Anolis sagrei: one gene and its partners. The protein of the gene in region 3 purifies or fractionates together with the protein of the main gene of each other region. This does not show direct contact. Links are inferred from orthologs where the notes say so. Each region holds a gene or a part of one and is shown on either strand. Other genes may lie near its edges.

Evidence for each region.
Region 1: the proteins of DNAJB11 (region 3) and SDF2 purify together in Homo sapiens (affinity purification with mass spectrometry; 3 studies listed by BioGRID and IntAct, counting the BioPlex papers as one, with this or other methods). This does not show direct contact. The link is inferred for Anolis sagrei from reciprocal best matches to the Homo sapiens genes DNAJB11 and SDF2.
Region 2: the proteins of DNAJB11 (region 3) and DNAJC3 purify together in Homo sapiens (affinity purification with mass spectrometry; 3 studies listed by BioGRID and IntAct, with this or other methods). This does not show direct contact. The link is inferred for Anolis sagrei from reciprocal best matches to the Homo sapiens genes DNAJB11 and DNAJC3.
Region 4: the proteins of DNAJB11 (region 3) and SDF2L1 purify together in Homo sapiens (affinity purification with mass spectrometry; 3 studies listed by BioGRID and IntAct, counting the BioPlex papers as one, with this or other methods). This does not show direct contact. The link is inferred for Anolis sagrei from reciprocal best matches to the Homo sapiens genes DNAJB11 and SDF2L1.

The regions. Positions count from the first base shown.
Region 1 is NC_090031.1:35,000,664-35,009,681, forward strand, and holds the start of SDF2 (stromal cell-derived factor 2), read left to right. Parts: upstream 1-5,599; 5' UTR 5,600-5,651; coding exon 5,652-5,805; intron 5,806-9,018.
Region 2 is NC_090023.1:126,801,068-126,809,633, reverse strand, and holds the start of DNAJC3 (dnaJ homolog subfamily C member 3), read right to left. Parts: upstream 3,309-8,566; 5' UTR 3,194-3,308; coding exon 3,112-3,193; intron 1-3,111. UniProt on the Homo sapiens protein: Involved in the unfolded protein response (UPR) during endoplasmic reticulum (ER) stress.
Region 3 is NC_090023.1:223,644,650-223,652,585, forward strand, and holds the start of DNAJB11 (dnaJ homolog subfamily B member 11), read right to left. Parts: upstream 3,458-7,936; 5' UTR 3,324-3,457; coding exon 3,256-3,323; intron 1-3,255. UniProt on the Homo sapiens protein: As a co-chaperone for HSPA5 it is required for proper folding, trafficking or degradation of proteins.
Region 4 is NC_090034.1:33,709,053-33,717,083, reverse strand, and holds the start of SDF2L1 (stromal cell-derived factor 2-like protein 1), read right to left. Parts: upstream 3,549-8,031; 5' UTR 3,458-3,548; coding exon 3,280-3,457; intron 715-3,279; coding exon 518-714; intron 1-517.

The DNA of each region.
Region 1 (9,018 bases), on a different chromosome or scaffold from region 3:
GTAAAGCCAAAAAGATGGGAAGGAAGGTCTCTTCTTAGAGGTTTACAGCTGCCTTGGAGGAAAAAAGGAAAGGAAATAAAGCAAGGAAGGAAGGAGGAAGTTAGCTGTATTGTGTCCCAATATGGGGGAAAAGTTGGGCATCAATACATACTATAATAACAATAATAATAATGGTAACAACAACAACAATAAAGGCTCACAGAGGGCAAGGCTGAATGCCAACCTGGATGCAAAGAAAATAAAGCAAAATAAATACAATCATATCTACTTTTAGGGGTGAAGGACTCAAATCTTGTTGGGTGAGTGGGCTTATTAACAAAAGACCCTCCCTATAAATGTACAGCAGAATAATTTATTAGCAGCAGTGTGACCCAACAGCAGGAGCCCCAAGTGATAAAAAATAATATAAACACACAAAGAACAATGTTATCTCTTCCTTAAAAGGCTTTTCTTTGTAGTAAAATAATATGGTTGCACTAATTACAACAAGTTTTTCATAACACAAATAGACAAACACATAGTAGCTTTGCACAAAACAGCCTTCACACTGGAGGTTTCTCACACAGAGGTTTACCTCACACTCTTCAGGACGACACTAGCTTTTGGCCCACTAATTCTCACAGGCTTCGGCCTACTCACTCTCCTCAGGACGGCACTATTTACAACAACAAGGTTTCCATACCACAAATAAACAAACACATACTGCAGCCTTCACACTGGAGTTTTCTCACACGAGGCTTCTCTCACATTCCTCAGGACGACACTAGCTTTTAGCTCACTAATTCTCACAGGCTTCAGCCTACTCACTCTCCTCAGGATGGCACTATTTACAACACCAAGGTTTTCATACCACAAATAAACAAACACATACTGCAGCCTTCACACTGGAGTTTTCTCACACGAGGCTTCTCTCACACAGAGGTTTACCTCACACTCCTCAGGAAGACACTAGCTTTTGGCCCACTAATTCTCACAGGCTTCGGCCTACTCACTCTCCTCAGGATGGTACTATTTACAACACCAAGGTTTCCATAACACAAATAAACAAACACATACTGCAGCCTTCACACTGGAGTTTTCTCACACGAGGCTTCTCACACACAGAGGTTTACCTCACGCTCCTCAGGATGCTCTTTGATTGTAGGTGAACTATACATCCCAGCAACTACAACTCCCAAATGACAAAATCAATTTTTTTGAGTGAAGGACATATATTGGGTTGTTAGGTGTCTTGTGTCCAAATTTGGTGTCAATTTGCCCAGTGGTTTTTGAGTTCTGTTAATCCCACAAACGAACATTTGTGGGATAAAAATGTAATGTTAGTTCGTGCTACCATCAGAACTCAAAAACCACTGCGGGGATTGACACCTAATTTGGACACAAGACACCTAACAACCCAATGTATGTCCTTCGCTCAAAAATTGATTTTGTCATTTGGGAATTGTCGTTGCTGGGATTTATAGTTTACCTACAATCAAAGAGCATTCTGAACTCCACCAATGATGGAATTGAACCAAACGTGGCACACAAGACTACCATGACCAACAGAAAAAACTGAAAGGGTTTGATGAGCAGTGTCTTTTGGTTTTGGAGTTGTAGTTCACCTACATCCAGAGATCACTGTGGACTCAAACAATGATGGATCTGGACCAAACTCTACACGAATACTCAATATGCCCAAATATGAACACAGATGGAGTTTGGGGAAAACAGACCTTGACATTTTGGAGTTGTAGTTACTGGGATTTATAGTTCACTACAATTAAAGAGCATTCTGAAACCTACAAATGACAGAAATGGGGCAAACTTCCCACACAGAACCTCCATGACCAACAGAAAATACTTCAGGCCATCCAGTCCAACTCTCTTCACCAGGGCAAGAAAATGTAATCAGAGCCCTCCTGACAGAGAGCCATCCAGTCATAAATATAGATAGATAGATCTTAAAGAAGGACTATGATATGTTGCATATTCCAGAGTAGGCAAACCAGACACTCTCCACATCAACACTGACAAAGAAACAACAAGAAATACTGTTTACTCACAAGCAGAAAGGAATTACATATATTAGAAACCAACACTTTCTCGTTACTTTATTTTCCAGATCATCAGACTGGGCCATAGCAACGCCTGGCAGGGGACAGCTAGTAGATAAATAAATACATACATTTTTAAAGTGTAGCTCCAACCAACTTTGATGCCCAAGTTCTCATCATTGAAGATGAAGTCATCAATAAATAAATATATACTTATGCATGCTTCCAGAAGTAAATTTCCCTACCTAGGAGTAAATTTCTCTCACTTACTGTAAGTTGGATGTCTGTAACTCAGGGTCTGTCTGAATTATTATTATTATTATTATTATTATTATTATTATTTCCCATATTCTCTCAGGGTCAAGACTGTGCCTTCAGACCATCTGTGATTCATTTCATTTCCCTGTAAATAACATTAGCAACTGCTTTTCTCATGAACGGTGGGCCTTGTTCACAAAGAGAGTGGTCAAGGAAATGGTCAAGCAATAGCAGCAATGCACAGAGGTATAAACATGTCATTGGAAAACTATAATTCAATGCTCTGAAAAGCAAGAGCCTGGCTCCGCAGAAGGAGGAGCCCTTTCAATGCTGCATTAAGCACCTTGGAAGACTGCAGGGAGGGAGGAAGGAAATAAACCCAAGAAGCCAATCCAGATTGGAAAATAAGGCAGCCATCTTGCTCTGGGCGAAGCTGTTGGCCTAGTTCAACCCTTCACTAACCTGTTTGTCTCCGAGTCCGTGACAGGGCTTTCATAAATAGCAACAGCAAGAACAACCAAAACAAAAACATACTTGGATTTATTACCCACCTCTCCTCAAAGCTTGCAGCTGCTTTCAGCATAATCAAAACACACTGCCACAAAACACGTGGCCCAAACTATATCTCATTTCTATATTTTTGTGGCTAATTTATAAATCATTATTATGCCTAATTTATATATTACTGCTATGGCTTATTTATATTGTGGCTCATATATAAATTGGTGCTATGTTTTATTTCTATATTATTTTATGGCTTATTTATACATTGTTATGCCTTATATATAAACTACTGCTATGGATTATTTATATTGTGGCTCATATATAAATTGTTGTGTTGTATTTCTATATTATATTATTTCTATATTATTTTTGTGGCTTATTTATAAATTGTTGTTATGCCTAATTTATATAGAACTGCTATGGCTTATTTATATTGAGCCTCATACATACATTGTTGCTATGTCGTATTTCTATATTATTTTTGTGGCTTATTTATATTGTGGCTGATATATAAATTGTTGCTATATCTCATTTCTATATTATTTTTATGGCGAATTTATAAATTGTTATTATGCCTAATTTATATATTACTGCTATGGCTTATTTATACATTGTTATGCCTTATATATAAACTACTGCTATGGATTATTTATATTGTGACTCATATACAAATTGTTGTGTTGTATTTCTATATTATTTTTGTGGCTTATTTATACATTGTTGTTATGCCTAATTTATACAGAACTGCTATGGCTTATTTATATTGAGCCTCATACATACATTGTTGCTATGTAGTATTTCTATATTATTATTGTGGCTTATTTATATTGTGGCTCATATATAAATTGTTGCTATATCTCATTTCTATATTATTTTTGTGGTGAATTTATAAATTGTTATTATGCCTTAATTATATATTACTGCTATGGCTTATTTATACTGTGGCTCAGATATAAATTGGTGCTGTGTTTTTATATATATATTTGTGGCTTATTTATAAATTATTGTTATGCCTCATTTATATATTACTGCTATATTATTTATATTGTGGCTCAGATATAAATAGTTGCTATGTCTCATTTCTATATTATTTTTGTGGCTTATTTATACATTGTTATGTCTTATTTATATAGTACTACTGTGGCTAATTTATATTGTGGCTCATATATACATTGTTGCTATATCTTATTTCTATATTGTTTTTGTGGCTTATTTATAATTTGTTGTTATACTTTATTAATATATAGCTGATATAGCTTATTTATATTGTGGCTCATATATAAATTAGTGCTATGTTGTATTTCTAAATTATTTTTGTGGATTATTTATAAATTGTTGTTATGCCTTAGTTATATAGAACTGCTATGGCTTATTTATGTTGTGGCTGTGATATAAATTGTTGCTATATCTCATTTCTATATTATTTTTGTGGCTTATTTATAAATTGTTGTTATGTCTTATTTATATAGTACTACTATGGCTTATTTATATTGTGGCTCATATACAAATTGTTGCCATATCTTATTTCTATATTATTTTTGTGGTTTATTTATAAATTGGTATGTCTTATTTCTATATTATTTTTGTGACTTATTTATTAATTGTAGTTATGCCTGTGGGCTGATATGGGTGGGATATAAGTGATGTAAATAAATAAATAAATAAATAAATATTGCGTCACATCCGGTTTTCGAGAAAGGTAGGATAGAAATATCGCAAATAAATTATATATTACTGCTTTGGCTTATATACAAATTGTTCTTAAGGCTTATATACAAATTGTTCTTACTCACTGGACCTCTTGTCTGTCTGAGGCAAGTGTCAATGTTGCCATTGGCCAGCTTAATTAGCACTGAATAGCCTTGCAGCTTCAAAGCCTGGCTGCTTCCTGCCTGGGGGGGGGGATTCTTTGCTGCTTGTGGGTCCTCATGTGTTTTGGCCTACTACTCCTAGATATCCAACTATTAGGATTTCTATTCGCGCTGAATAGCCTTGCAGCTTCAAAGCCTGGCTGCTTCCTGCCTGGGGGGGAATCCTTTGCTGCAGTGGTCCTAAGCTTGTTTTTGGCCTACAACTCCTAGAAATCCTATTCGTACTGAATAGCCTTCCAGCTTCAAAGCCTGGCTGCTTCCTGCCTGGGGGGGGGGACTCCTTTGCTGCTTGTGGGTCCTCGTGTGTTTTGGCCTACAACTCCTAGAAATCCAAGCCACTTCACCAACTGTTAGGATTTCTGGGAACTGAAGGCCAAAACAGCTTGAGAAGCCCTGCTTTGTTGGGAGGTGTTAGCTGGCCCTGATTGTTTCCTGCCTGGCTCTTTGCTTATTGTTGTGATTAAGGCCTGTGGGTATATATATATCTCTCCTCACGACCCCCTCAGCCCTGGAGGCGCCTTTTGGGGGCCCGAAGTGGGCGGGCGAGGGGGGCGAGGCCTCCCTCTGCGGCCTAGAGGCCCTCCCAAGGCCTGAGCTCGAGTAGCGAAAGGAGGAGGCCGCGTCCAAAAGCCCTCCCGCCGCTCCCGAGGCTCCCCCTCACCTTTCCCGGCTGGCTGGGCCTTCCTGGGCCGAGGAAGGAGAGCGGAGGCCCTTCCCCGCCTCCGCGGCTCCCTCTGAGGCAAAATGGAGGCCAAGCTACGGGCGCAGGAGCAAGACAAGAGCGGCTTCCGGTCCCTGGCCACGCCCACTTCCGGCGTCTCCCCCTCGCGGAAGCCAAAGGAAGCGGAGGAGCGGCGCCCTGGAGGTGCGCATGCGCACTTGACTTGGCCATCAGTTTCCTGCCCTGCCTCTAGTGCCGGTTCCTGTCAGCCGTTTCCTGAGGGGCAACTTCCGGTGTGTCTCTTCTTGCCGGAAGAGGAAGATGGCGCCGGCCGGGGCGGCTTTGCTGCTGGTGGTGGTGGGCCTGGGGTCCTCCGAGGCGGCTCCGGAGGCGGTGACGTGCGGGTCCGTGGTGAAGCTGCTCAACCCCCGCCACGGCGTCCGCCTCCACTCGCACGACGTCCGCTACGGCTCCGGTAAGCACTCTGCACACGCCCAGAGGGCCCACCGGCGCACACTAGGCCGCACGCCCCTTAGGCCAACAGCCCTTCAGGCAAGGCAGCATCCTCACACGGATTCTGGGCTTTGTAGGCCAACAGGAACTTTCCCCATGACTTTCATTATATATATATATATATATATATGATTTTATACTTTTATTAGTTTACATATATTTTTATCATTACTATAATTTTAGATATATTTATATATATATGAATTTATACTTTTATTACTTTACCTATATTTTTATCATTACTATAATTTTAGATATATTTATATATATATGAATTTATATTTTTATTACTTTACCTATATTTTTATCATTACTATATTTTAGATATATATATATATATATATATGATTTTATACTTTTATTAATTTACATATATTTTAATAATTACTATATTTATATATATATATATGATTTTATACTTTTATTAAATTATCTATATTTTTATCATTACTATATTTTAGATATATATATATATATATGATTTTATACTTTTATTAATTTACATATATTTTTATCATTACTATATTTTAGATATATATATATATATATATATATATATGATTTTATACTTTTATTAATTTACATATATTTTAATAATTATATATATATATATATGATTTTATACTTTCATTAAATTATCTATATTTTTATCATTACTATATTTTAGATATATATATATGATCTTATACTTTTATTATTTTACATATATTTTAATAATTATTATATTTATAGATATATATATTTATGATTTTATACTTTTATTAATTTACCTATATTTTTATCATTATTATATTTTAGATATATATATATATGATTTTATACTTTTTTATTTTGCATATATTTTTATAATTATATATTTATAATTTATAATTTTATTAATTTACCTATATTTTTATCATTACTATAATTTTAGATATATATATGATTTTATACTTTCATTAATCTACATATATTTTTTTCATTACTACAATTTTAGATAGATAGATAGATAGATATCATTTTATACTTTTATTAATTTACCTATATTTTTATAATTATTACATTTTAGATATATATTTATGAATTTATACTTTTATTAATTTACCTATATTAATTGGTTGACATACAAACAAATTTTAAAAACCACAGCTGAGAAACACTTAACCATAAAAACGATAGAGGAGATTAAACAACAACACACCAATTTTACATGGATGCAATATCACCAACTATACCGAAGTTATAAAGATGATGAGAAGCAAGGATTCTGCCAGGAACAAAATATCTGGGACATAGTAATGCAGAAGGAGAAGAAATTAATCAGAATAATATATAAGCAGTTACTGGGGTGGGCAACTGAAGAAGAGCAAATTAAGGACTGTCAGGTAAAATGGGCAAAAGACTTGGGTCACAACATACTTACAAAACAATGGGAGGAAATTTGGAACACAAAGTTAAAATATACGGTAGCTACGGACCTAAAAGAAAATTGGCACAAAATGTTTTTCAGGTGGCACTATTCCCCAGAGAAAATTGCAAAGTTTAGTAAATCAATATCAAACAAATGCTGGAAGTGCCAAAAAGAAATAGGGACATACTACCACCAATGGTGGGGATGTAAAAGAATCAGGAAGTACTGGAGAGAAATACATTTAGCAACACAAAAAATTCTAAAAACAAATTTTCCACAACTCCCAGAAATGTATTTATTAGGTATATCCTATCCCAAATTCAATAAAAATCAAGACAAAGTCTTCTTCCTGATGAGCACAGCAGCCAGAATTCAACTTGCCAAAATGTGGAATCAGAAGGAAACCCCGACAATAGAAGACTGGTTTATAAAAATACTGGACATAGTACAAATGGACTGTTTATCTCAGCGTCTTAACAACATTACGAAGAGGACAAATTGGGGAGGTCTTGAAGACTTCATTAAAAGGGAAAAACTGACTATGATAATAGACATTTCCAGTCTCTGAAGGAAATTAACAGATGGAGACAACGCCGGAAAAATGAAAGAAATTTGGATGAGAACCATACCAGAAGGGGAAGGTTCTCTTTGAAGACTTTGGGAAGTCCTTCACATGGGGGGGGGGGGGAGGAGGGAGGAGACAGGTGGGGGCGGCACGGGGATCTTTTAGGCTGTTTCTTTTTCTCTCTCTCTTTTTTCTCTTTTTTTTAAATTATGTATCACAGAAAAAACTGCACAATAAACACTATAACAAAAAAAATATTTTTATAATAATTAATTATAAAATATTTTTATAATTATTATATATTTATAATTTATACTTTTATTAATTTACCTAAATTTTTACAATTATATTTGTAGATATATATATATTTATATATGATTTTATACTCTTATTAATTTACATATATTTTTATCATTACTATATCTTTAGATATATATACATAATTTTATATTTTTATTAATTATTATTATTATTATTATTATAACTTTATTTGTACCCCGCTAGCATCTCCCAAGGGACTCGATGCGGCTTACAACAGGCCAACGCCGCAGAACAACAATACAGCAAAACAATACAAAGCAAATTAAAACGGTTAAGCAAGTAAACAAAACAGTAACAATACATCAGACAATTATTAAAACTGGGCCGGCCAGAGTAGTGGGTACAAGATTAAAAGTGCTGAAATTGTGGGAGGAATATAGGGTTATAACATAAGTGCAGTGTGCGGTGTGCAGTGATCGTGGTTCTACTAAAGTGCATCTGGGACTTGGTGTTGAGGTTCCTAGTCTGAAAAGGCACATCGGAACAGCCAGGTTTTCAAGTTCTTCCTGAAGACTGCCAGTGTGGGGGCCTGTCTAAGATCTTTCGGGAGGGCATTCCAAAGTCGGGGGGCCACTACAGAAAAGGCTCTGTCTCGCGTCCCCACCAAGCGCGCTTGCGATGCAGGCGGGATCACGAGCAGGGCCTCTCCAGATGACCGGAGTGAGCGTGTAGGCTCATAGATGGAGATGCGGTCACGCAGGTAGGGTGGTCCCAAACCGTTCAGGGCTTTGTAGGTGGGCACCTGCACCTTAAATTGGGCTCGGAAGATAAATGGCAGCCAGTGGAGCTCCTTAAACAGGAGGGTTGACCTCTCTCTGTAAGGAGCCCCGGTTAACATCCTGGCTGCTGCCCGTTGGACCATATATTAATATATTTATAATATATAATTTATTTAATAT
Region 2 (8,566 bases), about 97 Mb from region 3:
GAACTACCAGTAAATAGAACAATAAGTTTATTAAACTTAACTTGATAGCTGCCTTTGCTTGAGGAGTGGAGAAGGTATGTTTTTTTAAATTTTATTTATTTAAAGAGGGGTAACATTTATTTGTTAGTTTTAGTTGGCAAGGGAGGGGCTGTAACAGGGTAGAAAAATCATGGGGATATTTTTACATATGATTTTTTTAAATTGCTGTTTTCTATTTTAGTGCCTGGGTTTTTTTAAATTTATGAGATTTACTTTTATTTACATTTGAAGATCTAATTAAAAAGGTTTATGTGCTTAGCATTACAAAAAAGTAAAGTAACAGCAAGAAAAAATACTCCCATCATATAGAAATTAAGACTAAATTGGGAAATAAAAAGGGATCTCTAAGGGCCCTTCCACACAGTCCTATATCTCAGAATATCAAGGCAGAAAATCCCACAATATCTGCTTTGAGCTGGGTTAACTGAGTCCACACTGAGATAATGTGGGTTTTTCTACCTTGATATTCTGGGATATAGGGCTGTGTAGAAGGGCCCTTAGTTATATGAGTCAATAACTGTGGGATTTTACTCAGCTGTGTAGAAGGGTCTAATATAAGAGAAAGTGGAATACCACTTTGAGTCTAAAAGAGAAAAGCTATATATAAGTAGTAATAATAATCTATTTAAATAAAATGTAATGTTCATTTGTGGGTTTGACATAACTCAAAAACTGCTGGATAAATTGACACAAAATTTGGACACAGTACACCTATCACACCAACAAGTGACCATCACTCATAAAAACACTGAAAAACACAATAGAAGGGACTTAAAAGGCCAAAAAAGCAAAAAGACGCTACAGGGCATGCCCAAAAACAACTCCCCTGGCAAACAAAACACACAAAAGCATATCCACACTCTCTTTCGGACTACAGCTCCCAGCATCCTCTAAACCAGGCCCTTTAGGAGAGGAGGATGATCCAAATGCACCGCTTCCAAGATACAAGCTTTCTTCTCCTTGGATTTCTTTGAGAGCATCCCAATCCCTGCATATTTCCAATTTCCTATTCCTGGACTGCAACTCTCAGCAATCCCCCAGATAGATTCAGATGGAGATAAATAGGTAGATATAGATCGATTGATCAAGAGGACTGCTGGGAGTTGCAGTCCAAGAATAAGTAGAGAAGGAAGAAAAGGGAGAAAGGGGAAGGGAAAGAAAAGGGGGGAAGGAAAGGAAAAGGAAGAGAAGGAAGAGAATGAAATAAAAAAGGGAAGGAAGGAAAGAGGGAGAGGAAGGTTGGCCACAGCAATGCGTGGCGCGTACAACCAGTAATATCAAAACAAAGACATTAATCAAAGCTATTACTACTGCAAGACTATATGCATTATGAAAGTAATGTTAATATAGTATGGTTGTTATTATATTATTCTTTGGTATTATGTAAGTTGAGCATCATGGCCCAAAACAACCCTCATAGCCACATGACGGTCTCTCTTGTCCACAAAAGGAAGGAAGCTGAGAAACTAACAGGATCTCACTGTAACTTTTGTAACTTTCTGAATGTTTGCTAACCGTTTATGTGCTAAGAGGCCACACATTATATTTGCACTACAAATCCGTATTCATGGACCTCAGAACTTACTCACACTAGCAAGCCTTGTCTTACACGTGATCCTCCAACTCAGAGTTTTTATGTCACTTTCCTTTGATGTTCAAAAGACCTTCAATAACATCATCCCATTGTTACGATTGATATTCCCATTTTACATATAAAGCAGCAAGACCAGAAGTCATTGTCGTCTGAGAATGAGAATGACGTTGGAAGAGATTGGGGCGAAACAAGGAAGAAGGATGTCAACTGGGCACTCCCTTAGGTGAACGGCTGAAATCCTAAACACTTACAGGGAACAGGATTCAAAGACATGGGTGCATCTGCACTGTTAATGCAGTATAGTATCACTTTAACTGCTATGATTAAAGTGGTATCGTCCTGGGAGTGAAATCCTGGGAGTTCTAGTGTGATGAGGCACATAGAAAAACTACAATTCCCATGATTCCACAGCACTGAGCCATGGCAGTTAAGTGGCACCAAAATGCATCCATTCTAGAGCAGGCCTGGGCAAACTTTGGCCTTCCAGGTGTTTTGGACTTCAACTCCCACAATTCCTAACAGCCGATAGGCTGTTAGGAATTGTGGGAGTTGAAGTCCAAAACACCTGGAAGGCCAAAGTTTGCCCAGGCCTGTTCTCAGGTATAGATGGAATCATAGGAGTTATAGTTTTATAAGGCCTTTCCCTGCTTGCTGGTGCCTCCCATAAGGTCATAGCATTGAGTCATGCCAGTTCAAGTGGTGTCAAACTGCAATAATTCTACAGTGTGGATGCACTCATACATAGGAATCCTATCGCACATCTCAAGTCTCTTCCTGAGCCTTTCCAGGACCAGGAAGAAGTCCTGCTTCCTAATGTAGACTTCACACCATGTAACTATAGCACTTTGAAAACATCTGACGCAACGCTGGGATTTGTATTTGGCGAGGGAAACAGAATCCCCCAGAGTTTCCCAAGCTCTGGCCTTCTGAGTGTTTTGGACTTCAGCTCCCAGAATCCCTCACCACTAGCCACAGCAGCTGAGGCTTCTGGGAGTTGAAGTCCAAAACACGCTTAAGACCAAAGTTTGTCAAATCACCGAATACTATTAAAACTTTCAGGCAAAGAAGTCTTAAGTTATTATCATTCGTCAAATTTCAGAGCCTAGAATTCCACGGGAAACAGCCAAGGGAGTTAAAGCGGTATCAAAGTGCTATAAATGTGAGGTGTGGGCACATCTATACCATACCACGAAGACTCCACTTTAACTTGGGTTTTGTACTTTGGGGAAGTTTGGTTTTTTGCCAGACCTTGTAAAACTACATTTCCCAGGATGCCATAGCAATGAGCCATGGCAGTTAAAGTTGTGTCAAACTGCATTAAGTTCTACAGTGTAGATGCACCCTAGACCTCAATCCACACATTCAGGGAGCGACCCCAAAAGGCTGACAGAGGATAAAGGCAAATGCAGTCTAAGTTAACCTTGTCCCAATTGATTTCCCAGGAAAAGAACCCCTCTCCCCCTTCCCAGCCTCCTCACCCTCAAAGTGGAGGTCCCACAGCGTCAAGAGTAAGGGCAGCGCCGAGGCCAGCTTGTGCACGCAAGCCCGGGGAGAGACCATTGCTGCGTTCCCACGTGCGCCGCCCGACCCGCGTCAAAGTGGAGTTCGGGACTCTTCAACTCTCTCAACATTCTCAGCCAGGTTCCTGGGGCTGGGTCGTGGGAGCCGCTGATTGGCCGCGCCGCCTCAAGCCCCGCCCCCGGCTAGGGGAACGTGGAGAGCAGGAGAGCCCATGGTCAGCGGGCCCCGCCCCCTCCTCCCCGGGCATGCGCGTTAGGAGGCGTTGAAGCCGGCGCGGACGGACGTCAGCTTGCCCTCTCTTGGGAATGAAGTTCCTTTCAAGCTCTGTGACGTCAAGGAGGGCGACACCAGGGCGCTACTTTTGAAAGTTTGACGGTGTTTGCTTCCAAGTTGCACAGAATAAGTCTTGAAATAACAATGGTTGCCTCTACACTCTAAATTAATGCAGTTTGACACCACTTTCACTGCCATGATATCATGGGAGTTGTAGTTTTACAAGGCATTTAGCTCGTTCTGCCAAAGAATGTTGGTGCCTCATCGAACTACAGTCTATTCTGCCTTGGTTAGACCAGACCTGGAATATTGTGTCCAATTCTGCGCACCACAATTGAAGAGAGATATTGACAAGCTGGAAAGTGTCCAGAGGAGGGCGACTAAAACGATCAAGGGTCTGGAGAACAAGCCCTATGAGGAGCGGCTTAAAGAGCTGGGCATATTTAGCCTGAAGAAGAGTAGGCTGAGAGGAGACATGATGAGGGCCATGTATAAATATGTGAGAGGAAGCCACAGGGAGGAGGGAGCAAGCTTGTTTTCTGCTGCCCTGGAGACTAGGAAGCGGAATAATTGCTTCAAACTACAAGAAAGGAGATTCCATATGAACATTAGGAAGAGCTTCCTGACTGTGAGAGCCGTTCAGCAGTGGAACTCTCTGCCCCGGGGTGTGGTGGAGGCTCCTTCTTTGGAAGCTTTTAAACAGAGGCTGGATGGCCGTCTGTCGGGGGTGATTTGAATGCAATATTCCTGCTTCTTGGCAGGGGGTTGGACTGGATGGCCCATGAGGTCTCTTCCAACTCTTTGATTCTATGATTGTACAAACCCCAGAGTTCCATAGCAGTTAAAGTGGTGTCAAACTGCACTCATTCTCCAGTGTAGATGCATCCCTTTGGGATGGTGACCTCATTCAGAAAAAAAATGTTCCATATTGTGGGATTTTAGAATACTGATATATCTTGGAAATGTCTAAACACAAACTGCTTTTACAATTTAAACGCACAGCCTGAGAGTAATTTCATACATAATATTTGTGTAACTTTATGTTAAACAAAGCTTGTACATCTTAAAGCATAAGAAAGCAAAGGTGTTTCTATCTCAGCCAGCCATTTGGACTGTTTAGGAATATTTCGGAATTCAGGATCAAGGGCTCTAAACTTGTATTCTTAATACAAAGTCTCCGTCCAGGAAAATTACATACAAACTCATAAGAAATCAATGGGATGTGATTAACTTATATCACACTAACCTCATTCGTTTCAGAAAGACTTGAGGGTAGCGATTTTGTTGGAGATCGCAACCTTCTCAAGCCTCCTCTATTTAATGTTATGTCTGTTTATAATGTGTCGTTTTATTTCCCAAAGTGTATGTCTACTTTGTATTGTCGAAGGCTTATGTCTACTTTGGTTTGCAGTTTCCTTAGCTCTATATACTTGAGGCAGTGCGAGGGGCTGCAGATCACGGGACTGTTTATAATGCATTTTAAACATGATAATAGTTGAGGAATGACAGCTAAGTCTTGAGTCAGCTTGAGTACAGAAGTCTGTTTTTCAGTCAGATGTCAATGTAGAAAGTTAGAAAACTGTTGAAGCTTGAATTCTTCAATAGTAGACTGTTATGAAAGAGAACTGTACAGAACAATATAGTTTTTGAAAAGACTATTAAAGACAATAAGTTAAAGATACAAACCAAAATGTTTTAAAATTTAACATGACAAGAAATGTGCCTGTATATTTTAGTACATGAAGCTATGAGTAAACAAACAAGCTATTTTTAAAGAAGTCAATTTGAATCTTTGTCTGCTGAGAGCACTTAATAGAAACTATGTGCCTAGCGACCATCCATTACTCAATAAGCTAGAGGAACACCTACATAACTCTGCGAACCAATAGGTTATGATCCTAACAGGTCATGAACCATAATCCCCAGTAGGTTGTGATCCTAACAGGTCATCATCCATTATCCCCAGTAGATTTATTGAGAAACAAACCCTTGGATTTCTGTAGATCTGCGTGGGATTATAGTGTAATTTTCTGGAGAAGGACTGAAATATATCAAGATGTGAAATAGCCTTAAATTCTTTGATATTCATTTTTAAACCAGTCTGTTCTATATTTTAAAATACGTACAACCACTGCTTATTGCCAGGAAACATCCCTTAAAAGCTGTCTTCAACCCCAAAAGGAAGCTCAGGTCCCATCTACACTGCCATATAATGCTGTTGGAAACTTGCATTATATGCTCAGTGTAAACTCATATAATGCAGTTTAACTGCATTGAACTGTAAATCACTTCTGACGTGAGAGAAATGGCCATCTGCAAGGACATTGCCCAGGGGATGCCTGGATGTTTTACCATCCTGTAGGAGGCTTCTCTCATGTCCCTGCATGAAAAGCTGGAGCTGACAGATAGGAGCTCACCCTGCTCCCCAGATTAAAACTGCTGACCTTTCAGTCAACAGTCCTGCCAGCACAAGGATTTAACCCACTGTGCCACCGGGGGCTCCCATTTGCTGCTTACACAAATACACAACCTGTCTTCATTCTGTGGCATATATCCTTTTTACCGGATTAATTCAACTAAACCAGCTTGCAGTTGGAGTCATTAATGTAAGGTAAAGCCAGACTGAATTGTAGTAAACTTGGAAAGAACAAATTTACTACAGTCTGGGAAAATAAAACACCAGTCAATATAAAGTTCAGTTCTTAACAATGTGGTAAAACAAAACACTGGTCAAAGAAAACATATGGAACAACAACTAAAAAGGAGCCATAGAAGACTTCTTCAATACATGATTGTAGTGGCAAGACTGTTGTGTGCCTAGACTTAGAAGAATATATTCATAGCCATGGAGGGAAAATGGTCACTGAATGAGCTACCAGAAATGGATCCAATCTCAATTTGATTCAAGAAAAATCAGTAGAGACTTTTTGAAAAAAGATTGCTTAAAAAGCAGTTTGAAATTACTATATATTTTATTTCTTCTATTCACTTTTTTTCAACATTTCTCCCTGCCTTTTTAAGTTATTACTTGTGAGTGAACTTTTATTGTATTTGGGAAAAAAATAATAAAATAAAAAGGAGCCAATGGTTATTCTAAAAATATTAATGCCACTAATAACCACTAGAGGCCACTAAAATATCCTAATAAATAGTTGTGTACTGAAGGCATTAGTGTTCTATGTATGAACAAGCATTTGTTTGCATGTGCCTTTAATCCCCATGTCAACTTATGGTAATCGTATGGATTTCATAGCAAGACATACTCAGAGATTGTTTTACCATCTTCTTCCTGTGAAATATCCATAGTACCTGGTCTTTGTCCAAGTATTAACCAGAGTTGAACATGTTTGGCTTCCAGGATCAATCAGATGCCTTTAGGATATTTACTGCTGGATAAACAGGACCATGAACTTCACACGGTGTTGCATTTTTGGTGATACTACAATACTACTGCTGGTACTTTGTACTTAGACCTAGAGTTTTCTCCTACATCAACCCCCCCCCCCCCCCCACTCACCCCGCTTACCAGTAGCTCCAACTCAGTATCAGGTTGCCTGTAATTTGATTATTAAATTAACAGATGTACCACTTTTTAGAAAAATTCCAAAATACGATGTGCACAAATTAGCCAGCAAACATCACACTAGCTATCCATGCACATCTACTGACCATGGCATCTGTCAAATATATCCAAGACAGTAACTAAAGTGGCCTAAGTCATCTTCTTGTTTGAAGCAAAAGATTACGGAAACTAATCAGACTAGCAGTTTAATTTTATTTCATCACTAACCGTCCCCTGCCACACATTGCTGTGGCCCAGTCTGTGTATATGTGTTTTGTGTGTGTATATATGTGTATGTATATATGTGTGTATATGTGTATATATGTGGTTTTGTGCATAAGTTGTAATGTTGTTTTTTTAGTTTTTGGCTTTTTAAGTCTCTTCCACTGTATTTTTCAGTGTTTTTATGAGTGATGGTCACTTGTTGGCCTGATAGGTGTATTGTGTCCGAATTTGGTGTAAATTTGCCCAGTGGTTTTTGAGTTTTGTTAATCCCACAAATGAACATTATTTATATAGATTGGGGACCCTCTAACTTTACCTGAAGACAGGTGACAGACATCTGGAACTCATTGCTTTGATCTCTAAAAGTGGAGAACCGCTGCAGCACTATTTCCTCCACTTCATCCAAATGCATTTGTTTTTAACACTAGTGCTCATGCTATCACAGTCCAGTTTTATCGTGTCCTCTGTTGTAGACCAAAGCAACAGAAATAATCTGTATAGAATGGCCATGACATTTTACATGCTTGCTTGTGTTTGCTCACGTAATCTGAAAATGGTCTGAAACTTCAGAATTGTTGTTTGAAACCTTGTTCTTTGATGACCATGTCTCATCACCTCTCATGCCCATGGCCGCCAAGAAGTTTAGAAGGTGTATTGAACAGCCAACATCCTGCACACATTGTACATAAATATGCACCAAACTGCAGTCACTGAGGTCCTGATATCAATGCAACTCATAATGCATCTACTCTGTAGAATTAATGCAGTTCTATAAAGCTATTGTCCTCCCAACCCTGCTCTATGCCTACGAAACGTGGACTGTCTACAGACGTCACATGCAACTCCTGGAACGATTCCATCAGCACTGCCTCCGGAAAATCCTGCAAATATCTTGGGAAGACAAGTGGACAAACGTCAGCGTGCTGGAAGAAGCAAAGACCACCAGCATTGAAGCGATGGTCCTCTGCCATCAACTCCGCTGGACCGGCCACATTGTCCGGATGCCTGACCACCGTCTCCCAAAGCAGTTGCTCTACTCTGAACTTAAGAACAGAAAACGGAATGTTGGTGGACAGGAAAAGAGATGTAAAGATGGCCTCAAAGCCAACCTTAAAAACTCTGGCATAGACACTGAGAACTGGGAAGCCCTGGGAAGAACAGGTGGAAGGTGGTCCCAGTCAGGCCCTCGACCACTGGAGGTCAGCTGTGACCAGTGGTGCTGAAGAATTTGAAGAGGCACAAATGGAGGGTGAAAAAGAGGAACGTGCCAAGAGGAAGCCGTGTCAAGCCAACCCTGACTGGGACCACCTTCCACCTGGAAACCAATGTCCTCACTTCAGGAGAACATGCGG
Region 3 (7,936 bases):
TTAAGGATTAGGCCCAAAAGGATATGCTTGGAAGAGCATTCCACCATTAAGAAGCCACCACTGAGAAGGCATCTACTATAGGGGTTACCAAACCCTGTGTTGCAACCCCAAATGAGGTCATGAAGGGGTCTGTGGTGAGCTATGCAAATTTTAAAAAGGGAAAACATAAAATCATGCCATCCAAATGTCACCATGCTTGTGTTTCAAGTTATACTCCCCTTTGTTTCTATATATCTTTGTGAGAGCTGATTTTCAATGCTTCTTAAATTGAAAACCGAAACAAGAAACAGATTAAATGTTTAGAATGACATGAGGTTGGTATTCACAAAAGCTCACCTGCTGATTTTTTTAAGAAAGTAAGGTGAAATCTTCTGAACAGGGGCACAGACACAGGGGTGTTATTCCTTCCCTATGCTAACCAAAGCTAGAGGGGCCGCACACCAAGCATAATCTGAAGACCTCAACGGCGGATCAATTAGAAGACAACATGGTACCCCCGCAGTTTGTGGGTCCTCCTGGACTCAGCGCTGACGCTCGATGTGCAGGTGTCGGCTGGGAGGGCCTTTGCGCAATTAAAACTTGTGCGCCAACTGCGACCTTACCTCGTGAAGTCTGACTTGCCCATGGTGGTCCATGCCTTAGTTACCTCTAGACTGGATTACTGTAATGTTCTCTACGTGGGGCTACCCTTGAAGACAGCCTGGAAATTACAACTTGTCCAACGTTCGGCAGCCAGATGAATAACTGGAGCAACCTACAAGGAGCGGTCAACCCCCCTGTTTAAGGAACTCCACTGGTTGCCGTTTATTTTCCAGTCCCAATTCGAGGTGTAGGTTATCAACTATAAAGCCCTAAACGGTTTGGGACCCGCCTACCTTTGTGACCGTATCTCCCTCCATGAACCACCTCGGGCCGTCCGATCTTCCGGGAAGCCCTTCTCTCGCCCCTGCCAGTTTCTCAAGCTTGCCTAGTGCAGTGGTTCTCAACCTAATGCCGCGACTCCTTAGTACAGGTCCTCACATTGTGATGACCCCCAACCATAATGTTATTTTCGTTGCTACTTCTTTAATTCTGCTACTGCTATGAATCGTAATATAAATATCTGATATGCTGGATGTATTTTCATTCACTGGACCAAATTTGGCACAAATACCCAATATGCCCAAATTTGAATACTGGTGGGGTTGGAGGAGATTGATTTTGTCATTTGGGAATGTTGGAGTTGCTGGGATTTATAGTTCACCTAAAATCAAAGATCCTTTTGAACTCCACCAATGATGGAATTGGATCAAACTTGGCACATAGAATTCCCATGGCCAAGAGAAATACTGGGAGAGTCTGGTGGACACTGACCTTGAGATTTTGGAGTTGTAGTTCACCTACATCCAGAGAACACCGTGGACTCAAACAGTGATGGATCTGGATCAAACTTGGCACAGATAGTCAATATGCCCAAATGTGAACACTGGTAGAGTTTGGAAAAAATAGACCTTGCCATTTGGGAGTTGTTGGGATTCATAGTTCACCCACAACGAAATAGCATTCTGAACCCCACCAAACTTCCTACACAGAACACCCATGACAAACAGAAAATACTATGTTTTCTGATGGTCTTTGGTGACCCCTCTGACACCCCCTCGCAACCACCACAGGGGTCCCGACCCCCAGGTTGAGAAACACTGGCCTAGTGAGTACAAGGGAGAGAGCCTTTTCCGCTGTGACTCCCCGACTCTGGAATTCGCTGCCTGGAGAAATTAGGAAAGCCCCTTCCCTAGAAATTTTTTAAAAGAACCTTAAAACCTGGCTCTTCCGCTGCGCCTTTGATGAGTAGGTATATAACCCCACATGATTGCTCAGCCCCGAAGTTCTGTCATTGGAGTATATGTCCCTCCCTCATGGGAAAGCTTGATTCCACAACTCCCGCTAAAATGAGCCCTCCTCTGTAAATTACCTGCTTCTCTCTTTTATTTCGCCCGAGTTTTTAATTAGTTTTAATCATTACACGTAGCCCGCCCATTATTACTGTGCCTGTGCATAGTGTAATTTTTATTTTGTTATGTATTCATATGTTTTATGTAACTATGATGTTATTGTTTATTGTTTGCATTTTTGTGTTGTTTTTTGGTTTTTCTTTATTGTAATTGTCATTTGGGCTTGGCCTCATGTAAGCCGCTTCGAGTCCCCATTGGGGAGATGGTGGCGGGGTATAAATAAAGATTATTATTATTATTATTATTATTACAACGGCTGTAAAAGTGGAAAATGAGAAGCCACCATTGTCGTGTTACCATGACACTGGTTGGGACCCTCATTCTGTGAACATTGTGTTGATCAATTGTGCATCAACCTCCTATTTATTTTATTTACTTACTTTATTTCTATACCGCTCTTCTAAGCCCGTAGGCGACTCAAAGCGGTTTAAATAGTACAAATTATCACAAGACAGTATAATAGGCAATTAAAACACATTATACATAACAGTCAATATCAATAAACAATCATTATCATAACGCCTCAAATCAGAACCATTCTCATAATCCTTGTTCCATGTTCCTATGTTCGATTGCACCGTATTCCTATAATAAATTGCACTGTTTAGCCAAACACTTGTTCGAAGAGCCAGGTCTTCACCTTCCTCCGGAACGGCAACAATGTAGGGGCCTGTCTGATGTCTACAGGTAGGGCATTCCACAGCCGAGGGGCCACCACCGAGAAGGTCCTGTCCCTCGTCCCCGCCAGGCGCGCCTGAGATGCAGGCAGGATCGAGAGCAGGGCCTCCCCGACTAGGACGATCTTAATGTCCTAGTCGGTTCATGGGTGGAGATGCACACACACACACACACTAGCCGTTCCCTCCCACGCTTAAGTGGCTGAGGGGGGGAAAAAGTGGTCTGAGGCTGTTAGGAATGGTGGGAGTTGAAGTCCAAAACACCTGGAGGGCCCAAGTTTGCCCATGCCTGGTGTAGATGCACTCAGAGTTGAGAATGGGATGTCAGTCTCACACAGGAGGCAGGGAAGCCAAGCCTCACAGGGGCCTGAATGATGCTGAGAGAATGCCAGTGGGAGGGAGGGAGGGAGGGAGAGGAAGGGAAGGCCTCACTGTGAGGAGAGCTGAAGGACGGGGGCAGAAATGGCGGGGAAGGGGGCCTGTGGAAGACTCAAGGGAGTAAAAGGGGGGGGGGGGGCGGATATCAGCCTCTCAGAAGGCCGGATGGGGTTCCCTTCCCTTCCCCGCTCCTCTTTCTTGGGGCTCACCCGGCAATGGCGTCCCCAAGCAGGCAGAGCAGCAGCAGGAGGAGGCTGCCGAGGGAGCTGGGAGTCATGGCGGGGCCGAAGGGTCCTCGAAACGGCTTCAGCGCGCGCCCCCTCCTCACTCCTTCCTTGACTCGCCGGTCACCATCGGCACGACGGAGAAACCCGGTGAAAGAAGGCAGGCAGGCAAGCAGCCAATCAGCGCCCGGCACAGCGCAGCCGCGTCACGCTCCACCGGCCAACCACAATTGCACACTTCACCCGCGAGCCGGCAGGGCGCAGCCAATCACGGCTCTAGACGTCAATAAATAAGGACGCTGGGGAGGAGGGGGAGAGGGAGCAGCCGTGCTTACGTCGCGAGCTGTTCTAGGCTTACCTATTTATATCCCGCTCTATCTCTCCATACGAAGACTCAAAGCGGCTCACAATAAAAAACATTACAACTTAAAATATACAAATATATATAATAATAAAACTGTGCAATTATATATTATCAGTAGTATATTTAATATACTTTACTATATTACAATAATAATAATACTTATATATAATATAAAAATAATATATAATATATATAATATAATTATTATAATGCGTTATTAGTATATTGTATTACGTTATATTATTTTAATATGTGTATATACAATATATTAGCCTAGCACATTATTATAAGTTACTATATTATATTGTTTTGTTGTTTATTCGTTCAGTTGCTTCCAACTCTTTGTGACCTCATGGACCAGCCTACCCAGAGCTCTGTTGGCCATAGCCACCCCCAGCTCCTTCAGAATCAATTCAGTTACTCCTCCCAGTAGAGTCAAATCAAGGAAAAGCTTTATGAGAACTTCCACTCCTCTTGGCGTCCCCCCAGCAACAGCAAGGATACCCCTCTGGGCAGATAAACCAGGAAATCCCAACTGGATGCACCCCCCCCCCCCCCCAGTGTAGGGAAATGTTTGCCTTTCTTTGTCACCAACCATCACTAATTAAAATAGTTCCCTACACCAGGAGGGCCTTCCTCCAGGGCCAAGCCAAGAATGGGCAACTTGGAAGTCCCTGAACAGACTCAGAAGTAGAGTGGGCAGAACAAAAGACAACCTGGCAAAATGGCACTACCTAAAAGAATCCCACACCTTATGTGACTGTGGAGCAGAACAGACAACTCTGCATCTGTATACTTGTCTACTATGCTCTGCCTCATGTACAGAGGAAGAATTGTTGGAGGCTACAGGCAATGCCATTGCTGTTGTCTGATTTTGGTAAAAAGATATTTAGCCACCTGCGCTCTTTTTATTTTTATCGGTTTTATACTAATTTATGCAATGCTTTTGATATGAAATAAATAAGTCAGTTACTTCAAGGATACCATCCATCCATCTTGCCCTTGGTTGGCCCCTCTTCCCTTTTTCTTCCATTTTCCCCAGCATCATTGTCTTCTCTAAGCTTTCCTGTCTTCTCATGATGTGGCCAAAGTACTTCATCTTTGCCTTTAATGTCCTTCCCTCCAATGAGCGGTCGGACTTTATTTCCTGAAGTTTGGACTGGTTGGATCTTCTCGCGGTCCAAGGCACTCAGAATTTTCTTCCAACACCACAGTTCAAAAGCATCTATCTTCCTTCGCTCAGTCTTCCTTATTGTCCAGCTCTCACATCCATAGGTTACTACGGGGAATACCATTACTTTAACTATGCGTATCTTCGTTGTCAGTGTGAGGTCTCTACTCTTCATTGTTTTATCGGCATTGGTCATTGCTCTCCTTCCAAGAAATAAGCATCTCCTGATTTCCTGGCTGCAGTCTGCATCTGCAGTAATCTTTGCACCAAGAAATACAAAGTTTGTCACTGCCTCCACGTTTTCTCCCTCTATTTTCCAGTTGTCAATCAGTCTTGTTGCCATAATCTTGTTTTTTTTATGTTTAACTGCAACCCACTTTTGCACTTTCTTCTTTCCCCTGATTAGAAGGCTCCTCAGCTCCTCCTCGCTTTCGGCTATCAAAGTGGTCTCATCTGCATCTTTAAGGTTGTTAATGTTTCTTCCAGCAATTTTAACTCCAGCCTTGTATTTGTCAAGCCCTACACATTGCATGATGTGTTCTACATACAAGTTGAATAGGTTGGTTGAGAGGATACAACCCTGCCTTACGCCTTTCCCAATCTTGAACCAGTCTGTTGTTCCATGGTCAGTTCTTACTGTTGCTACTTGGTCATTATACAGATTTGTCAAGAGACAGACAAAGTGATTTGGTATCCCCATACCACCAAGAACGTGCCACAATTGATTATTATCCACACAGTCAAAGGCCTTAGAATAGTCAATAAAACAGAAGTAAATGTTTTTCTGAAACTCCCTGCCTTCCTCCATTATCCAGCGGATATTGGCAATTTGGTCTCTTGTTCTGTGCCTTTTCTAAAACCAGCTTGTACATCTGGATCTTGAGCATTACCTTACTAGCATGTGAAATAAGTGCCACTGTATGAAAGTTTGAGCATTCTTTAGCATTTCCCTTTTTTGGTATGGGAATATAAGTGTATATATGTGGTTTTGTGCATGCATTGTAAGGGTGGTTATTTTTTTGCTTTTTAAGTCTCTTCCGCTGTGTTTTTGGTGTTTTTATGCATGATGGTCACTCATTGGTCTGATAGGTGTATTGTGTCCAAATTTGGTGTCAATTTGTCCAGTGGTTTTTGAATTATGTTAATCCCACAAATGAACATTACATTTTATTTATATAGATTAGCTGTCCCCTGCCATGCGTTGGTGTGGCCCAGTCTGTGTATATGTGTTTTGTGTGTGTATATATATGTGTATATATTTGTGTATATATGTGGTTTTGCACATGTGTTGTAAGGTTTTTTTTGGTTTTTTAAGTCTCTTCTGCTGTGTTTTTCAGTATTTTTATGGGTGATGGTCACTTGTTGTCCTGATAGGTGCATTGTGTCCAAATTTGGTGACAATTCGCCCAGTGGTTTCTGAGTTCTGTTAATCCCACAAACGAACATTACATTTTTATTTATACATTTTTATTTTATTTATATAGATATAGAAGATTATATTTATTTATATAGAAGAGTACTGTGAAGTGAAGTGACTGGATTGACCTTGAAGGAGCTGGGGGTGGTGACGGCTGACTGGGAGCTCTGGCGTGGGCTGGTCCATGAGGTCACAATGGACCAGCCCACATGGAGTTGGAGTTGGAAACGACTGAACGAATGAACAACAGAAGATTACTATATTGTACTATACCATTATATTGTAATATTATTAGTAATATTACATGTCGGGTTTTTTTGTCGTGTCAGGAGCGACCTGAGAAACTGCAAGTCGCTTCTGGTGTGAGAGAATTGGCCGTCTGTAAGGACGTTGCCCAGGGGACGCCTGGATGTTTTGATGTTTTATCATCCTTGTGGGAGGCTTCTCTCATGTCCCCGCATGAGGAGCTGGAGCTGATAGAGGGAGCTCATCCGCCTCTCCCTGGATTCGAACCTGCGACCTGTCAGTCTTCAGTCCTGCCGGGACAGGGGTTTAACCCACTGTGCCATCGGGGGCTCTATTACATGTCATATAAATATATAATTAAAATATCGTATTATTATTATTAGTAGTAGTAGTAGTATATCTCCACTGTGGAATTAATGCGGGTTGATACCACTTTAAACAGCCTTGGCTCAATGCTATGGAATCTTGGGAGTCCCAAGTTTCCATAGCCGTGGCAGATAAGCATGTCAATCTACATAGGAGAAACAGCGGAAGAGGTCCTCCCATCCGCAGAGGGCGATATGGAATTGATCTCAGCCTCCCCGCAGTCATTGCTATTGCCTCAACCATGAGCGGAAATGACGCGAGCAGTCTCAAGCGCTGGTGTGGCGGGGAAAACAAAAACAGGGCTGTTCTAGCCCGAAGCATCTCTTTGGTAAGAGTGTTGCTGTACAGCCGCGGCAGCCATCCTTGTGCGCAGGCGCAGTGGGCGAGGGAGAGGGCGGGAAGCGTCGCTGGGCCGAAGGGAGAGGAGCTTAAGCGGCTGAGGGGGAAAAGGAAAGGGCCTCAGGCTGTTAGGAATGGTGGGAGTTGAAGTCCAAAACATCTGGAGGGCCCAACTTTGCCCAGGCCTGATCTACACTGGAATTAATACAGTTTGAGACCACCTTAGCTGCCATAGCTCAATGGAATGGGATCATGGGGTTGTAGTTTTGCAAGCCTTTTCTAACCAGGGGATTAGGGATACCTCACCAAATGAATTCTCCCATAGTATTGAGCTGTGGCACTTAAAGTGGTGTTAAACTGCATTAATTCCACAGTACGGCTGCATGCTGAGATGAACCTATCACGGGTATTTCTTGGAAACTAAAAAAATAACTGCTGTTATCCCTAGAGGGTTTTTTTTAATTGGTACTTGGACTATTTTCCCCCCAAAAATGCTTTTGCTAATCACCAAGTTTGTTAAATAAATAAACGTAACTGTCCGAACGCATCTCCTCTTATGAACCATCGAGGACTTTAAGATCGTCTGGGGAGGCCCTGCTCTCGGTCCCGCCTTCATCACAAGCGGGGGGTGAGAGACGGCCTTCTCCGTGGTGGCCCCTTGGCTATGGAACGCCCTCCCTAGGGATATTAGATCAGCTTCTTCCCTTTTAACATTTCGGAAAAAGCTCAAGACGGTTTTTCGAGCAAGCTTTTGCAAATACAG
Region 4 (8,031 bases), on a different chromosome or scaffold from region 3:
TCGACTGCTACTCGCCACCAGGAGGGAAATCAAGACTTTGCTGCTTCCTCTGAAGGAAAGGCGCCCTCTCCCAAACCCAAACCCTATCTACAGCCCCAAGAAGTTTAGCCTATTTTAATTTCAGCCCCTTCATATCACCAAGTTGTGCAATCCTGGACTACACATACAAGAAATATGGAACGTAACACTACATAACATGATTTTGATCCTGGTTTATAAATGTCATTTTCTAATTGGCTCTATCATAAAAAATGCACAAAGGTTATTTTTGTTTATTAACTTTGTTTTTGCAGGACATTCTGCAGCACATTTTGCTATAGTTTTTTCAATGAGTATGTCATTGAGTCTCAGTCAATTCAACCTAGTTTGTGGCAGCCACAAAAACAAAATTTCTGGAATAGAACAACTACTTTCACAGTAAGTACTGCACAATTAAATAGGAAATAACACTTTTAAACCAAGAACATTTTTTTAAAAAAATATGTTACATAGTGTAATGGGAGAATCTGGTTCTGACCTGATTGTTGGAGAGCGGTGAAGAGAAGTGGTGGGTGTGCAGATTCTTCCCTGTGTTGACATGTGTGAGGCGCACGGCTTGTCCGCACTTCACTGGCATCCCTCGCTGGCAGGACCCCTCGGTTTTGCCCCGGATCCGCCAATAGCTGTTTGCATCATCAGAAGCTTCGACTCCAGTCACTGACTGTTGTCCGCTACCTACGAACATAGTCAGCAAAAGAGGAAACAAAACCATTAAAACAGAATCTCCCATGTGCCCACCCCTGTGCCTTCAAGCTGCCTGCTGACTTCGGGCAACCCCATTAATGTGATAGGGTTTTTCCATTGGTGGTTCGGCTGAGGGCTTCCTCTGAAGCACAGCCCACAGCACCTAGAATAATCTGGATCTCCCATCCATGCTGACCCTGCTTAGCTTCCAAGATCAGACAAAAATCGAATGCATTCAGGCAGGTATTAAGATGGGATGCACTCTACACCTTCAAGTGGCCCATTGACTTTGGGCAGTTTCATGAATTTCACAAGTTTTTCCCTTTGGTGGTTTGGTCAAGACGTTCCTCCATTCCTCATCTACACTGCCATATAAAATCCAGATTACACTATGCACTTTCCACACACAGTTTAAAATCTACATTGAACTGGATTATATGGCAATGTGGACTCAGATAACCCAGTTCAAAGCTGATATTGTGGGATTTTCTGTCTTGATATTCCAGGATATAGGGCTGTGTGGAAGGGCCCCTAGTTTGTGGCAGCCACAAAAATGAAGTTTCTGGAGTAGTACAATGACTTTCAAAGTCAGGACCGCACAATTAAACAGGAAATAACACATTTAGACCAGGAACAGAACTTTTTCCCTGAAATTTCATTACACAGTGTTATCCTGGAACTGGATTACATGGCAGTGTGGACTCGTATACAAATAATACCAATTTTGACATGGTGGTATATGTGGTGCCTGGGTGATTTTGCATCCAGGTCCTAACCTGCTGAGGGCCCCTCCACACAGCAATATAACACAGAATATGAAAGCAGATAATGCACAAAATGTGCTTTGAACTGTGGCCCCTTCAACACAGCAGTATAAAATCTCACATTATCTGCTTTGAACTGGGATATATGGCAGTGTGGACTCAGGGTGCTTCCAGACAGCACCAAATTGCGGGTTTAATAGGTAGGACAAAAAACCTGGGTCCGGAGAAGAGGTCACCACACAGACCTGTTAGTCCCAAGATTTGTGCCTCTGTCATCCACACTAACAACTTTGTTCCAGGATTTTGAAGCCCGCAAGATGGCTGCTGCGGGACATCCACCAGAAATGTTGGCGTTTTTTTAAAAAAAACCTTTGAAATGTATAGATGCATATAAATATGCGCATCATTTGTATGAGTTTTGTTCCTGGGTCAAACATATCTGTTCCTCATTGCTTTTTTCCTGAAAAGATTATGAATTCTGACTAGAGGGTGAAAACTTCATCCTGGCTAGAGAAACTTCATCCTCCACACCTTTAATTAAGTTTGTGGCACACAAAGTTTGTGGAGGAGGACCACTACTTTCAAAGTCAGGACAAGACTATTAAACAGGAACTCACACTTTCAAGCCAGGAACAGTACTTCATCATTATTGTAATTCAGAGGCCGCATGGCCATCTGTCCAGACAGGTTTTGTCATGTACTTGTGCCTGGAAACAACTGGGTGATGTTCCTGGGTTATACATGTCTCTGTTCCTCATTGCTTTAATCATAAAACATGGGGGAAGTTGATCACACAGCAAAACTTTTGTTTCTGTGTCACAAACTTCATTAAACGTGTGGAGGACAAAGTTTCTCTTGCTAGGATATAGTTTTTGCGCTCTAGTCAATTGTTGCCATGTTCTTCGGATAAAACCAATCAGGAACTGACATGTATGTGGAACAAACCATGTATGGGAATAAACCAACATAAAAATCCTGTATTTTCTGAGTGTAGGGACATATAGGTCCCTTCCACACAGCTGAAGAAAATCCCACATTATCCGCTTTGAACTGGATATATGGCAGTGAGGACTCAGATATTCCAATTCAAAGCAGATATTATGGGTTTTTCCACCTCAATGTTCTGGGTGATATAGCTGTGTGGAAGGGCCCACAGAGATTCGAATATCCACATTTTCCAGCCAGAACTGGGATATTCCCACAACGTTTTTAGTGCTTTGTAGCATTTTTTCCCTGTGTTTTCAGGGGTCGTCGTTTGGCCACCCACGATTTTGAACCGGGAGCTCCTGGGATAAAGGTACTGTGTGGATAGGCGCTCAGAAAACCCAGGGTCCTGTCCACACAGCCATATAACCCAGAATATCAAGGGAGATAATCCAAAAAATCTGTGTTGAGTCCACACTGCCAGATAATCCAGTTCAATGTGGATTTTATACAGCTGTGTGGTAAGGACCTTAGGGCCCTTCCACACAGCCATATAACCCAGAATATCAAGGCAGATAATCCACAATATCCGCTTTGAACTGGGTTTTCTGAGTCCACGCTTCCATATAACCCAGTTCAAAGCAGATAATGTGGGATTTGATTAAGTTGTGTGCATTTGGCAGCCATTCTCGGCCTCTGGGGCCCTCTAGGGCTTTGGGACTTCCACTCCCATAAGCCCCGCCACCTGGGCCAGCGGTGAGGCATGCCGGGAGATGAAGTCCAAAAGCTTCTGAGGGGCTAGGAGCCTTTGACTGGAATCTTTGGGCTGCGGGTGTTGGTAGAGCCACTTTGTCTCTCCGCTCCTCACCGGATCCGTACTTGACCTCGTGCGAGTGGAGCCGGACGTTGTGCCGCGTGTTGAGCAGCTTCAGCACCGAGCCGCAAGTGACAGCGCCCGCCTCCGCTTCTGACGCCCGGCTCGAGCCTCCGGCGAAGAGCAGCAGGAGCAGCAGCCGGCAAAAGCCAGCGCCCAACCCGCGCCGCATCTCCGCACCACCGCTGCTGCTATATTGAAAGGTTCTGCACGGTTCCGAAGCGACTTCCGGTCCCGGTACTGGGGCTGAGCCAATCAGAGCATGCCAGCACCGCCCACGCGTGCCTGGCCACACACTCTGGCTCGGATCGTTGACGGCGGCGCCGCTGATTGGCCTACGGCGGGCGGCCAGGCGAGCCAATCAGAAGCTTCGGCGTGGCGACGCTCTCCCGCCTTGCTTCCCTTCCTCGATAAAGGGGCGGGACGCACGTGGAAGAAGAAGGCGGAGCAATGGCAGAGGTACAGAAGCGCAGCCTCGGGAGTTTCCGAGTTCGAGGCCCGGCGTCGGCATTTCACATGGGTGGGTTGCTATAACCTTTCAAATGTAGAATCAAGGCAGTTTGACTCCGCTTTTTTAGCTGCTCTGGCTCAGTGTGGTGGAGTCCTGGGAGTTCTAGTTGGACGAGGCGCAGAGGAGGCGGCAGGACCCTCCTAGCATGGAGCCAAGACAGAGCCTATTCTAGCCCACTCCACTCCGAGGCTGAGAGAGTGTGACTCTCTCAAGGACGTTCAATGGGCTTCTATGACAGAGTTGGGGATCAGGGATTCGAACTCAGCTCCCTGGAGTCTGAAGCACCAAGGTGATATTATACTTACACACACACACACACACAATATTAATATTATTATATATGTAATGTATATTATATGTATTACAATATACATATAATATATATAGTACAACATATTACATTATATATGTGTGTAGTATTATATATAATACTAGCCGCCCCCTGCCATGCGTTGCTGTGGCCCACATGCGGGTTCTGTGTGGGAGGTTTGGCCCAATTCTATCATTGTTGGGGTTCAGAATGCTCTTTGATTGTAGGTGAACTACGAATCCCAGCAACTACAACTCCCAAATGTCAATATTTTATTCTCCCCAAACTCCACCAGTGTTCACATTTGGGGATATTGAGTATTCATGTACAATGTATTGTCGAAGGCTTTCATGGCTGGAATCACTAGGTTCTTGTGGGTTTTTTCGGGCTATAGGGCCATGTTCTAGAGGCATTTCTCCTGACGTTTCGCCTGCATCTATGGCAAGCATCCTCAGAGGTAGTGAGGTCTATTGGAATTAGGACAATGGGTTTATATATCTGTGGAATGGCTGGGGTGGGGCAAAAAGCTCTTCTCTGCTGGAGCTAGGTGTGAATGTTTCAACTGACCACCTTCATTAGCGTTTGAAGGCCTGGCTGAGCCTGGGAAAACCTTTTGTTGAGAGGTGTTAAGATGTGCCTGGTTGTTTCCTCTCTGCTGTTTTGCTGTTGTAATTTTAGAGTTTTTTTAATACTGGTAGCCAGATTTTGTTCATTTTCATGGTCTCTTCCTTTCTGTTGAAATTGTCCACATGCTTGTGGATTTCAATTTTTTTATTAATAATTTTTTATTGATTTATCACATTTATTACATACTATTGCATTTTGTACATCAACCTCTTTAACATGTTGTTTTGCTTTGACATTTCCCCCCCCTTTTCTCTTTTTTCCTTTTTTCCACCACAGTGTTCCCCTCCACCCGTCTCAAGCCACCATTCTTACATTTCATCTGTCCAAAATTTCATTTCTTCTTGTGACGGTAATTTTCCTTCCTTATTTTTTAATCAATTTACCACAAATCTTCCCCATACAGCATCAAAATCGTTTTGTTTCCATGTACCTTTTTTAACCTTTAATATACATGTCAATTTATCATTTATTGCTATTTTCCATGCTTCCTTATACCACTCCTCTATTTGTATATTCATTTCTTTTTTCCAATTCCTTGCTATGAGCAGTCTTGCTATAGTTAATAAGTTTGTTATCGCTTCTTTATCCTCCTTTTTCAATTGCTTATTGTTATATAATGATAGTAAGGCTATACTAGGACTTTTATCTATTTTCATATTCATTATAATTTCTATTTCTCTAAATACTTTCTCCCAAAAATTATTTACATATTTACATTGCCACCACATGTGTATATATGTTCCTGGTTCTTGACACCCTCTCCAACAATTTATTGAGTTATTTTTATTCATATATGCTATTCTTACCGGTGTTAAGTACCACTTCCATATTAACTTGTAATAATTTTCTTTAACTCGTATCGATAAATTTTTTAAATGTCTTTGTCCCCATAGTTGTCGCCACTCTATTTCACTTATTTTTATCCCTAAATCCTCTTCCCAAATCTCCTTAAGGGTACACTTTTTTATTTTTTCATCCTTCATTTCAATTAGTATCTTATAGATTTTGCTAATTATACCTCTCAAGTTTTCATGTTCTTCTACAGCCCTTCCCTTCTGTATTATTTGTTCAAATTGATTGGGTTGGCTTCCACTTCTATTATTTTTTTCCCAGTTTATTAACCATTGTTCTAATTGTATACAATGAAACCATGACAATTTTATTTCTTTAAACTCTTCCAACATCGTCTCCCTCTTCATTTCCCCCTTCATCCAATCCCCTATCCTATCTAAATTTATTTCCCTTACCTTTTTATCCATTACTTTTTTAAAAAAAATTGGGAACTTCTTTTCCATCACTATTAGGGTTATAATTGATCCCTCCTTTATTAACCTCCCCTTATATTTATTCCATACTTTCAGTATGTTACTCAGCATTGGGTTTCTAATTTCCCTCATTTCTTTTGTAGTAAACTGTTTAAAAAATATATTCCAAATTTCATCTTCCACTTTTCCTGAATCATTACTAAGCCAATCTATTCCCTCTTTTTTAACCATTCCTTCTATAACCAAACTTAATCTACTTGCTTCATAATATTTTTTTATATTAGGTAGTGCTAGTCCACCCTCCTTTTGCGATCTATACCATAACTGTTTATTTAGTCTGTTTCTTTTACTTCCATTACAGTACTTATTAATCATTTGTTGCCATCTAGTTAGTTCTTCTTCTGTGATTTGAAGTGGTAGCATCCTAAATATAAAATTTATTTTTGGAAGTATTTTCATTTTTACTAATGCTATTCTTCCAAACCAGGATAAGTGTATACCTTCGTACTCTATTAACTTTTTCTGAACTTCTTTTCTTAAAGTTACTACATTTACTTCCTCTATCTCTTTTAAATCCTTAGTTATTATTACTCCCAAGTATTTTAATTTATTCTTAATTCTTATTCCCATTTTTCTCTGTTCTATAAAATCTTTTTCTTCTTCTCTTGTATAATTAAGTAGCATCATTTCTGACTTGTTCCAATTGACTTGTAAACCCGTTGCTTTCCCAAATATCTCCAAATGTTCTTTTATTCTATCCATTTTCTCCACTATATTTTCTATAAATAACAATGTATCGTCAGCGAATAAGCTCACCTTCTGTTTCTCCTTTTTTCCTAACCCTTCTAAATTTTTATTGTTCCTTATGTTATTAGCAAACAATTCTATCACCATAGCAAATAGTATCTGAGACAAAGGGCACCCTTGTCTGGTTCCTCTAGTCACTTTTATTTCGTTTGTCACTCCATCATTTATAGTTACCACTGCTGAGTTCCTTGAGTAAAATTGTTTTAGTACTCCTTTTATTCTATTTCCCATTCCAAATTTATTCAATATTTCCCTTAATGTCTCCCATTCCACACAATCGAATGCTTTAAAAATATCTATTGATAATATCCCTGCTTTTCCCTTCCCCTCTTTAGCCCAATGAATTTTATTTAGTACTCTCCCTATCAAATTTGACATTTGTCTTCCTTTTACAAACCCACACTGATCTTCTTTTATGTACTTATACATACATTTATTCATTCTATTGGCTAATATTGCGGACAATATCTTTGCATCCTGATTAATTAATGATATGGGCCTATATGACCCTGGGTCTGTTAAGTCTTTATCAGGTTTGGGTATTAATATTATTAATGATCTCCTCCATGATTCGGGTATTTTATCTCCCTTCATTATTCCATTATACAATTCCAATAATTTTGGGGTTAAAACTTCTCTAAAGCTTTTATAATATTCTGTCCCTAGACCATCCAAGCCTGGAGCTTTTCCTACTTTTAATTTATTAATAACTTCCTCTATTTCTTTTTTCCTAATAGGTTGTTCCAGTAACTCTTTATCTTTCTCCTCCAGCTTACTCTTCCAATTTTCTTCCACATATTTCCTAATTGCCTCTATGGGGCTTGCTTTGGTTTGATATAGTTCTTTATAAAATTCTTCAAATACTTTCAATTTTTCTTTCATAGCTCTACATAATTTACCTGTTTTATCTTTTATCGTATTTATCATTCCTTCCATTTTCTTTTTCTGTGTTGATTTGGCTAGCATCTTTGAATTCCTATCACTAAACTCAAAATATTCCCTCCTTAAATAAATTAAATTTTCTTGTACTTCGTCTATTTCCATTTTATCCAATTCCTCTTTTTTTGCTCTTAACCTAGCATAAATTTGTGTATCTCTCTTTATTACATATGCTTTTTCAATCTCTTCTATTTCTCTTTCTAAATTCCTTTTCCTTTCTTCTTGCTTTCTTTTTAAGTTAATTGCCTCTTTTATACATAACCCTCTGGTCACTGCTTTCATAGTGT